Linked DNA regions of Rattus norvegicus. The protein of the gene in region 1 purifies or fractionates together with the protein of each later gene. This does not show direct contact. Links are inferred from orthologs where the notes say so. Each region holds a gene or a part of one and is shown in the gene's direction. Other genes may lie near its edges.

Evidence for each region.
Region 2: the proteins of Psmb7 (region 1) and Psme3ip1 purify together in Homo sapiens (co-immunoprecipitation; 3 studies listed by BioGRID and IntAct, with this or other methods). This does not show direct contact. The link is inferred for Rattus norvegicus from reciprocal best matches to the Homo sapiens genes PSMB7 and PSME3IP1.

Annotation. Positions count from the first base shown.
Region 1 is NC_086021.1:42,813,971-42,817,470, reverse strand, and holds part of Psmb7 (proteasome subunit beta type-7), read left to right. Parts: intron 1-1,199; coding exon 1,200-1,315; intron 1,316-3,500. UniProt on the Homo sapiens protein: Component of the 20S core proteasome complex involved in the proteolytic degradation of most intracellular proteins. This complex plays numerous essential roles within the cell by associating with different regulatory particles.
Region 2 is NC_086037.1:10,406,356-10,410,351, forward strand, and holds the start of Psme3ip1 (PSME3-interacting protein), read left to right. Parts: upstream 1-1,196; 5' UTR 1,197-1,347; exon of another isoform or gene 1,348-1,656; intron 1,657-2,504; exon of another isoform or gene 2,505-2,707; intron 2,708-2,769; exon of another isoform or gene 2,770-3,996. UniProt on the Homo sapiens protein: Promotes the association of the proteasome activator complex subunit PSME3 with the 20S proteasome and regulates its activity.

The DNA of each region.
Region 1 (3,500 bases):
AGAGAGAGAGAGAGAGAGAGAGAGGAGCATCAGTGCGTCTGTTGGTGTTGGTGGTGGTGGTGGTGATGCACATGTGGAGAAGTCAGAGGATAACAGAAGAGTTGATTCTCCCTTTCCACCATGTACGTCTTGGGGATTGGACCTCAACTCATCAGGCTTGGCAGCAAGCACCTTATCTGCTGAGCCATCTCTGGCTTCTCATCATGTTGCTCCTAAAATTCTTGAGTTTTTCACTTTAAACATGGAAAATTATCAGCAGTTGGTGCCTGGATGCCACAGTTGTGCTTCTGGATGTCGTGTAGCTCTTCCCAGTCAGATTGATGGCTTTGCTCTTACATTTGTGTTTTAGTGCATGGCATGGCAAGTAAGTTTGTGTTGGTTTCAGTTTTCTTTTTAAAGAGCTAAAAGTTTAGAGTGGAAAACTTTAAATCCAACATGTTCAGTTTTATCTTAGCCAAGCAGTTTGTCTTGGTGAAAAACTGAGCCAATCTAGAGACGGGGATCTATAGAAATGATCACCAGCTAGGTAAAGAGTTCAACAAATGTCCAAGACCTGAGTGCATATTCCATGGTGGGAAGATGGAGGGAAACATTCTTGTTTGTGCTCCTCAACACCTTATTCTGTTGGTTACAGCAGCTTCATAGGTCATGATGGAGCTCCGCATGTCCTGAAGGATGCAACAGTTTTCTGTTTTACTTAATAGCATCTGTGATTATTATGTGGTGGGTTTATTCAGAGGGAAAGGGTGTTGTGACATGAACCACTGTGTGTTGAGACTGCTTGTTAGAAGAGCTGTATGGCTTGAATTTAGCAGCTCCTCACTATTCACTAGCTTGGTAGCTTATTATCCAGTGCTGATAGTCTTTGAAATAGCAAGTTCTCTATGTCTCTAAGCTTTTTGTCTTGTGTTTCTTTTGTTTTATCCCCCCACCCCCTTTTTATTAAAATGGGACTGATAGTGCTTTTAAAAAGATGGCTGTGTGTCAGATCTCAAGTGAGTCATGTGGTATACTGCACACAGTTTGCAGTAGCTAATTGTAGACGTTCAACTGATTGTAATTCCCTGCCTGGTTCCTATGCAGGCAATAATTCCTTAGTGAAACATGTAAGGAAACCCTTGTCTGACTTCTGCAGCTTTTTGCATAAGCTACAGTGACTCGGGACTCAATTCTTCCCTTGTGTCTATTCTGACCACCAGGTATCAAGGTTACATTGGTGCAGCCCTAGTTTTGGGGGGAGTCGATGTTACTGGACCTCATCTCTACAGCATCTATCCGCATGGATCAACTGATAAACTGCCTTATGTCACCATGGGTGAGTGTTAGGTTTTTCTTGTTTCAGACTGGAAAACAAATGGGCCTTTCAGAGAGCTATTTCCATCGTTGAGGGAGGCAACAGTGCATTCTAGTGATGTTGCTTAGTCAGCAGCATATGCCTATATATTCATGTTACTTCTACCTATATATTCAGTGTGGGGGTGGCGTTTGAGAGAGGGTTTTTCTATGTAGCCCTGGCCGTCTTGGAACTCATTTTGTAGACCAGGCTGACCTTGAACTCACAGAGATCCACCTGCCTATGCTTCTTGAGTGCTGAGATTAAAGGACTGTGCCACTGTGTCTGGTTGGCTTTAGAAAAAGATTTTTTATATAATTGGATAAAGAATTAAGTGAACAAATTTAGATAAAAACTCTTGGTTGTAAGGATTTATTTATTAGATACCCACAGACAATAAACAACTATAAAACTATGTTAATAGCAATGTAAGGAAGTAAAAAAATACTCAGCTAAAGGCTACTAGTGTAGGTAATATTGAACTGTGGTCACATCAGGTGTTACTTTGGAGAAACCAGACCAAGGATATATGGGAACTCTTTGTTACTTCTAACTATATGAGAATTTGCAATGATCTAAATACAAAAGGTTATGAATATCCTAAGAGGATCTGGGAGTTGTGGGCAGGCAGAAAGCAGTGGAAGCTTGGGCAGGTCCTGGGAAAAGGTGATATTGAAGTATACAGAGCCCTCTAAGCAGGTGGAAAGACTGAGTGGAAGTCACACCTTTCAACATGCTGGAACTGATAGAAAGTCTCTAAATCATTTTAACTTCTTACATTTATTTATGTGGGCAGGTACACATGTGCCACACATGTGGTTAGAGGACAACTTATGGAGTCAGTACTCTCTTTATGTGGGTTCTGGGGATCACACTCAGGTCATCTAAACTTGTGGCAAGTGCTTTTTACCTGCTGAGCCATCTCATTAGCCCAAGAGGCCCTTTGATGAGGTTAGAGTGACAGGGTCCCTTTTACTGGACTGTGGAGAAGCTTAGTTTCCTCCCTGTGAAGTGTCAAGTGATACCAGGCTGTTGTGAGTGGCACGGTACACAGGGGAAATCTGAACCAATGCCTGATCTACCAACAGTTGCAATGTTTTTTGGGTCAGACTTTTGTGTTTGTGGTTTAGCTCCAATTGCTCCTTTTGTTTGCTTTTGTTTTAAAATTTTTGGAGAGTGGTAAAAATTTCCTTAGACAAACTGACATTTTCAAATGAAAATTTATATTAAATTTCCAAATCAAATTGTGTAAATCTGGTTATCTGTGGTTGCTGTTTTTCTTGCTGTTTGCTGTCTTACCTTTCTGTCTTGGCTCTGGAGCTGGGAAGATGGTCTCTCTGCATAGTTGAAAGTTACCAGTTGGAGACTTTGTTGTACCATTGTGTGGTCTATCCCTGTACAAGGTGCTTTATAATAGATGTTTCCTCCGTGCTAGGAAACCAACCTTACAGCATGAGTGGGTCTTTGTAATTAATGTTTCTGTTTCAGAAAGGATTTCATATGGCTCAGGATGGCCTCAATTCTTTATGGCCTTGAGCTCCTGATCTTCGTGTCTCCACTTCCCAAGTGTTGGGGAGTGTAGGTGTGCATGACCATGCTTTCATATATATTTGGGTCTTTATAATTATCTTAAGGTGAAGATACTATAATTTAAAGATTGTTCTAAAGTGATTTATTAAAAATGTCTTTCTATTGAAGCACTTTTATTTTTCCCCTTCTAATTCCTTGAAGTGGTAGTAAAGGGAGAGTTTTATTTTGTTTTTTTGTGGCACCAGAGTTTGAACACAGGGCCTCAAGTATGGTGAGTGCTTTATCACTGCGTTAGGTACCAAGCCTCAGCCCTCTTCTTATTGTGAGACATTATCTTACTTACAAAGTTGCTTGGTTTGGCTTTGAACTCACTTTGTAGCCTAGACCGGCCTTCAACTTGTAATCCTGCTGCCTCAGTCTTTTGAGTAGCTAGTAATATTAAACTATGCCATCAGACTCAGCTTCATATTTTCTCTTAAAATAGGTGGGGTCTTGAGACAGCAGGGTCTTTGCATAGCCCTGGCCATTCTGGAGCTCACTGTGCAGACAAGGCTGGCCTTGAGCTCCAAGAGATTGGCTTTTGGAATGCCGGGATTGAAGGCCTCTGCCACCATGCCAGGCTTGGTTTCATTATTTT
Region 2 (3,996 bases), on another chromosome or scaffold:
AGGCCAGAGGCAGCAGAATCCTTACTCTGGGACACCTGGTCAGACTCCAGAGTGAGGGAAGAACCCTGACTATTCCCGTTCCCGCCTACTATCCCTCGGGCTTTCCAGTAGAAAGGACTGACCAGAAAGCTCCCCTCCCCAAGGGTTTTTACTTAATATTTAGCTCAGGCCTGGAGAGTAGAAGAATCCGCTAGGTCTGGCCCTCACCTCCAGCCTCTCTCCAAGGCGAAGAACTCTCCACCCCAAGGCACCACCAGACCATCCCAGGGGAAGTCTGCTTCCCAGTGAAACGCAAACTCCCCAAAAGGAATCCCTGCCCACGGCGTGCGCCCCTCGACCCCTTCTTTCGGTTCCGGGAGCCCGAACGGGCATCCCTCCACGCCAGGAGCCTCCCCAGGGGGTACCTGCTTCTCACCTTAGCCGCAGTCTCCTCAGGAGGGTGACCCCAGGACCTCCTTCAGTCAAGATCCCCTAAAGGGGAACACCCTCTTCCAGGAACCGCTTTCAGGCGCCTCCAGCGCGGGCCTCGGAGGAGAGCGTTCCGGCTGCTTCCCAGGCTCTGACCAACGCCACCCTCTCCAAGACCACTGCCCGGAGACGGCCACGGCCCCAGTCCAGTCTCTCCGACCCAGGCTCCAGCGGCTGTTCTCTTCCCTCACAGGCGTCGCTAGCCCTCAAGCACCCTCCCCGGCCACGTCCCCAAGGGGCTTCCCAGAGCAGCACGGTCGGGCTATGGCACTGACTTTCACTAGCTCCGGGGCCCACCGGAGGGAGGGGACAGCGACAGCGGCGCGACTCCTTTGTGACAGGTCCAAGAGAGCGGTAAAGATGGACGCGAGGACACGGCACTGCCATTACGCGCAGGGCCCACCCCCGCTTCGCACCGCCCGGGCCCTCCCTCAGTCCCCTAGGAAACGCCCCTTCCTCGGTGGCAAGCCCTCTCTCTCAGACAGCCAATCATCGTTCAAGGCTCGTGTCACGTGATCTCGCGGTTCTGCCCGCCACCCTGGAATGAACTGGTTAATCCTTTTGCCGAAGGGTGAACGGCCCAATCAGATCTCTCCATACGGTCTCGAAGCACCGGATTTCCACGAGGCGCTCGGGGAGGGAGAGAGCTGTTGATTGGACGATGCCGCCGGAAGCGGGGTGCAAATGTGTTGTGGCTGTAAGGAACAGGAAGCCCCGAAGGGTCAAAAGGAATACAAAAGCAAAGTCTGTTTGCCTCCTTTAAGCCGTTGTTCTTTCTTGGTTTCTTTTCTATTTTTTTAAGAGCGAGTGGCCTAGGCGGCGACGGTTTGCGTTAGGCGCCGCGGAGGTGAGGGAGGCCCGCCTCCCGCGCTCTGGTAGGTGAGTGTGGCCTGGGTCCGCGCCGGGAGGCGAAACCAGGCTTCTCGGCCGAGGAGAGGGTGAACTACAGCCAGAGTTAGGATTAGGGCCCAGGTTTGTCTTCAGTCCTTGGTCCTTGCTAGTGCCCGGTGTCCTGAGTCGCCCGGCTTGGGAGTTCGCGGTGCCCACCCCGAGCGGAACCGCGGGAGTCTGCGAGATGGCGTGTTGGTCGTGGTGGGAGGTTCCGACACTTTCTTAACGCGCCAGAACTGCCGGGCCTCTTGTCTTCTTTCAGCACTGTTCTGTTAGCTTGGAGCCATCAGGCCTAAAGTGAGCTGCTGCTTCTGTTCCACTAGGAACAGCTCCTCTCGCCTTAGAAAACGTGGAATGCCCGATTGAAACTCGTTGAATCCCGGAGCGTAGTTGCAGGATGGGTACATCACAAGTTTCCCAGTTGCAGTGCCTCGCTCATTCTCTTCTAATAGGAAGCAAGGCTGTGTACCTGTTTTATTAGAACACGACCGGTGGTTGAAATGTCTTGAGAGTTGGTGCCCTCAATGCCAATCCACGCAGAGGGGAAAAGGGAGAACTATTGTTCGTGGGAGTGCTTCTTGGAGGACCACAAGATCTGTGGCCCTTAGTTTTAAAATGCAAACCCTGTGCTGCATCCTTCAGGTAGTCTGATTGTTATGTCTAAAGTGGAACCCACAAAGTCTAATATGAGCCTGTTTAGGATTTACAGCGATTTCTTGAGTGTCAAGCTGTGAGGCAAGTTTCGTGGGTTAATTGATTTATTGATGCGTCCCCAGAGACATAAAATAGTTTGGTGGAGCTCAGTGTAGTGACTTGTAATCCTAGGACCACAGAGGCGGGGTGTGTGTGTGTGTGTGTAGGGGATGGATGTCAGCTTCCATAGCAAGACTGCTAGAAAAGAAAGCAGAATAACTTACAAGCCAAACTGGCTTCTGAAATATTTGAAAGCAATCTGTAGAGCTTTCTACGACAGAAGGAACTGAGTTGAAATAAAGGCAGCTCCTTTGTTTCTGTTGGAGCCTAAGATGAGCTATGAATCTGAAAAGTCGGATGGCCCAATTATCTTTGAAGTCGAAGTCTTAATACCTTTAAGAGGAAATTCTTTCTGGTTTTTAAAAAGGAAGAATTATGCGAAGGCCATTTACCTGGTTTCATTCTTCATTGTGACCAAACGTTTGCTTAGAGACAGTCTTCAACTGCAGAAACTGAAAGCCACCCATACTTTGACGGTGAAGTAATTTAGCAGCATGATTCAACTGTGAACTTGGATATAGTGTAATAAGCTTGTATGGCAGCAGGATTAATCCGTTTCAATGTGTTCGCCTTTTTGACGTCTTCGTTCTTGAACGTGAGTGTTTCACCTTTGTTTCGCAGTTTCAGTTATGATGCTCTAACTCATGAGTTGTTTTTTGTTTTTTTTCAGTTGTCTTGGTATTTGAATTTTTTGATTGTTGTTTTCAGACAGTCTCTTGTAGCCAGTCTGGCCTTGGGTTTGATGTGTATGGAAAAGGAACCTTAAGCACCTGTTTTGTTTTGTTTCTCTCAGGTGTTCAAATTACAGGTGTACACTACATATGACAATATTAATTAGCCTTTTGACGTTGGAATAGTGATTCATTTTGGAAAATTCTAGTAACATATATTGATACATTTGACTGCTTCCACACACATTTTACATTTTCATTTTCACTCTGTCTCCAGCTGTTTTTGTTTGCTTGCTTTTTTTTTTTTTTTTTTTTTTTTTTTTTTTTTTTTTTGAGGCAGGGTCTTGCTATGTAGCCTAAGGTGTTCTAGAACCTTAGATTCCTAAGATTTTTTTTGGCTCTGCCTCTTTGCAGACTGGGCAGTTTTGTTCATTGATTCTCTTCTATTCCAACTCTTTTATTAAACAGTCATCTTTGGTGGGGAGGTGTTTGTTTTTTGAGACAGGATCTCTCTATTTAGCCCTGGCTCTCCTGGAACTGGCTATATAAACCAGGCTGACCTGGAACTCATAGAGATCCGCCTGCCTCTGCCTCCCCAGTTTTGGGAATAAAGGTGTGCTCCACTGTGTCTCCTCCTAAACACTGACATCTTAAATTCAATTATTGCAGGTCTTATTCCTGAAGTTTTTGTTTACTTTTTTCTAAAGATAAAAGTACATTGTAGCTTTCCTTCAGAAGAGGGCATCAGATCTTATTACAGATGGTTATGAGCCACCGTGTGGGATTTGAACTCAGGACCTCCAGAAGAGCAGTAAGTGCTCTTAACCAATAATTCATCTCTTCAGCCCTTTTATTTATATGAGTACTCTGTAGCTGTCTTCAGACACACCAAAAGAGAGCTATCAAATCCCATTATAGATGGTTGTGAGCCACCATGTGGGATTTGAACTCAGGACCTCTGGAAGAGCAGTAAGTGCACTTAACCACTGAGCCATCTCTTCAGCCCCTTGTTTACTTTTATAACTTTAAAAAAAGTTTTATATTTTTTGCTGTTAATTTCAAGGCTTGATTTTTATTTTAAACATTGTAAGTATATTTGTTGTGTGATCCATGTATTTAATTCCCATAGATTTGTTTTTCTTATCCATTATTCCCAAGGTTTTCTTATCTCCCTTCCCTTTCAAGGTATAGTTCTTGGGTACCAGTTTATGAT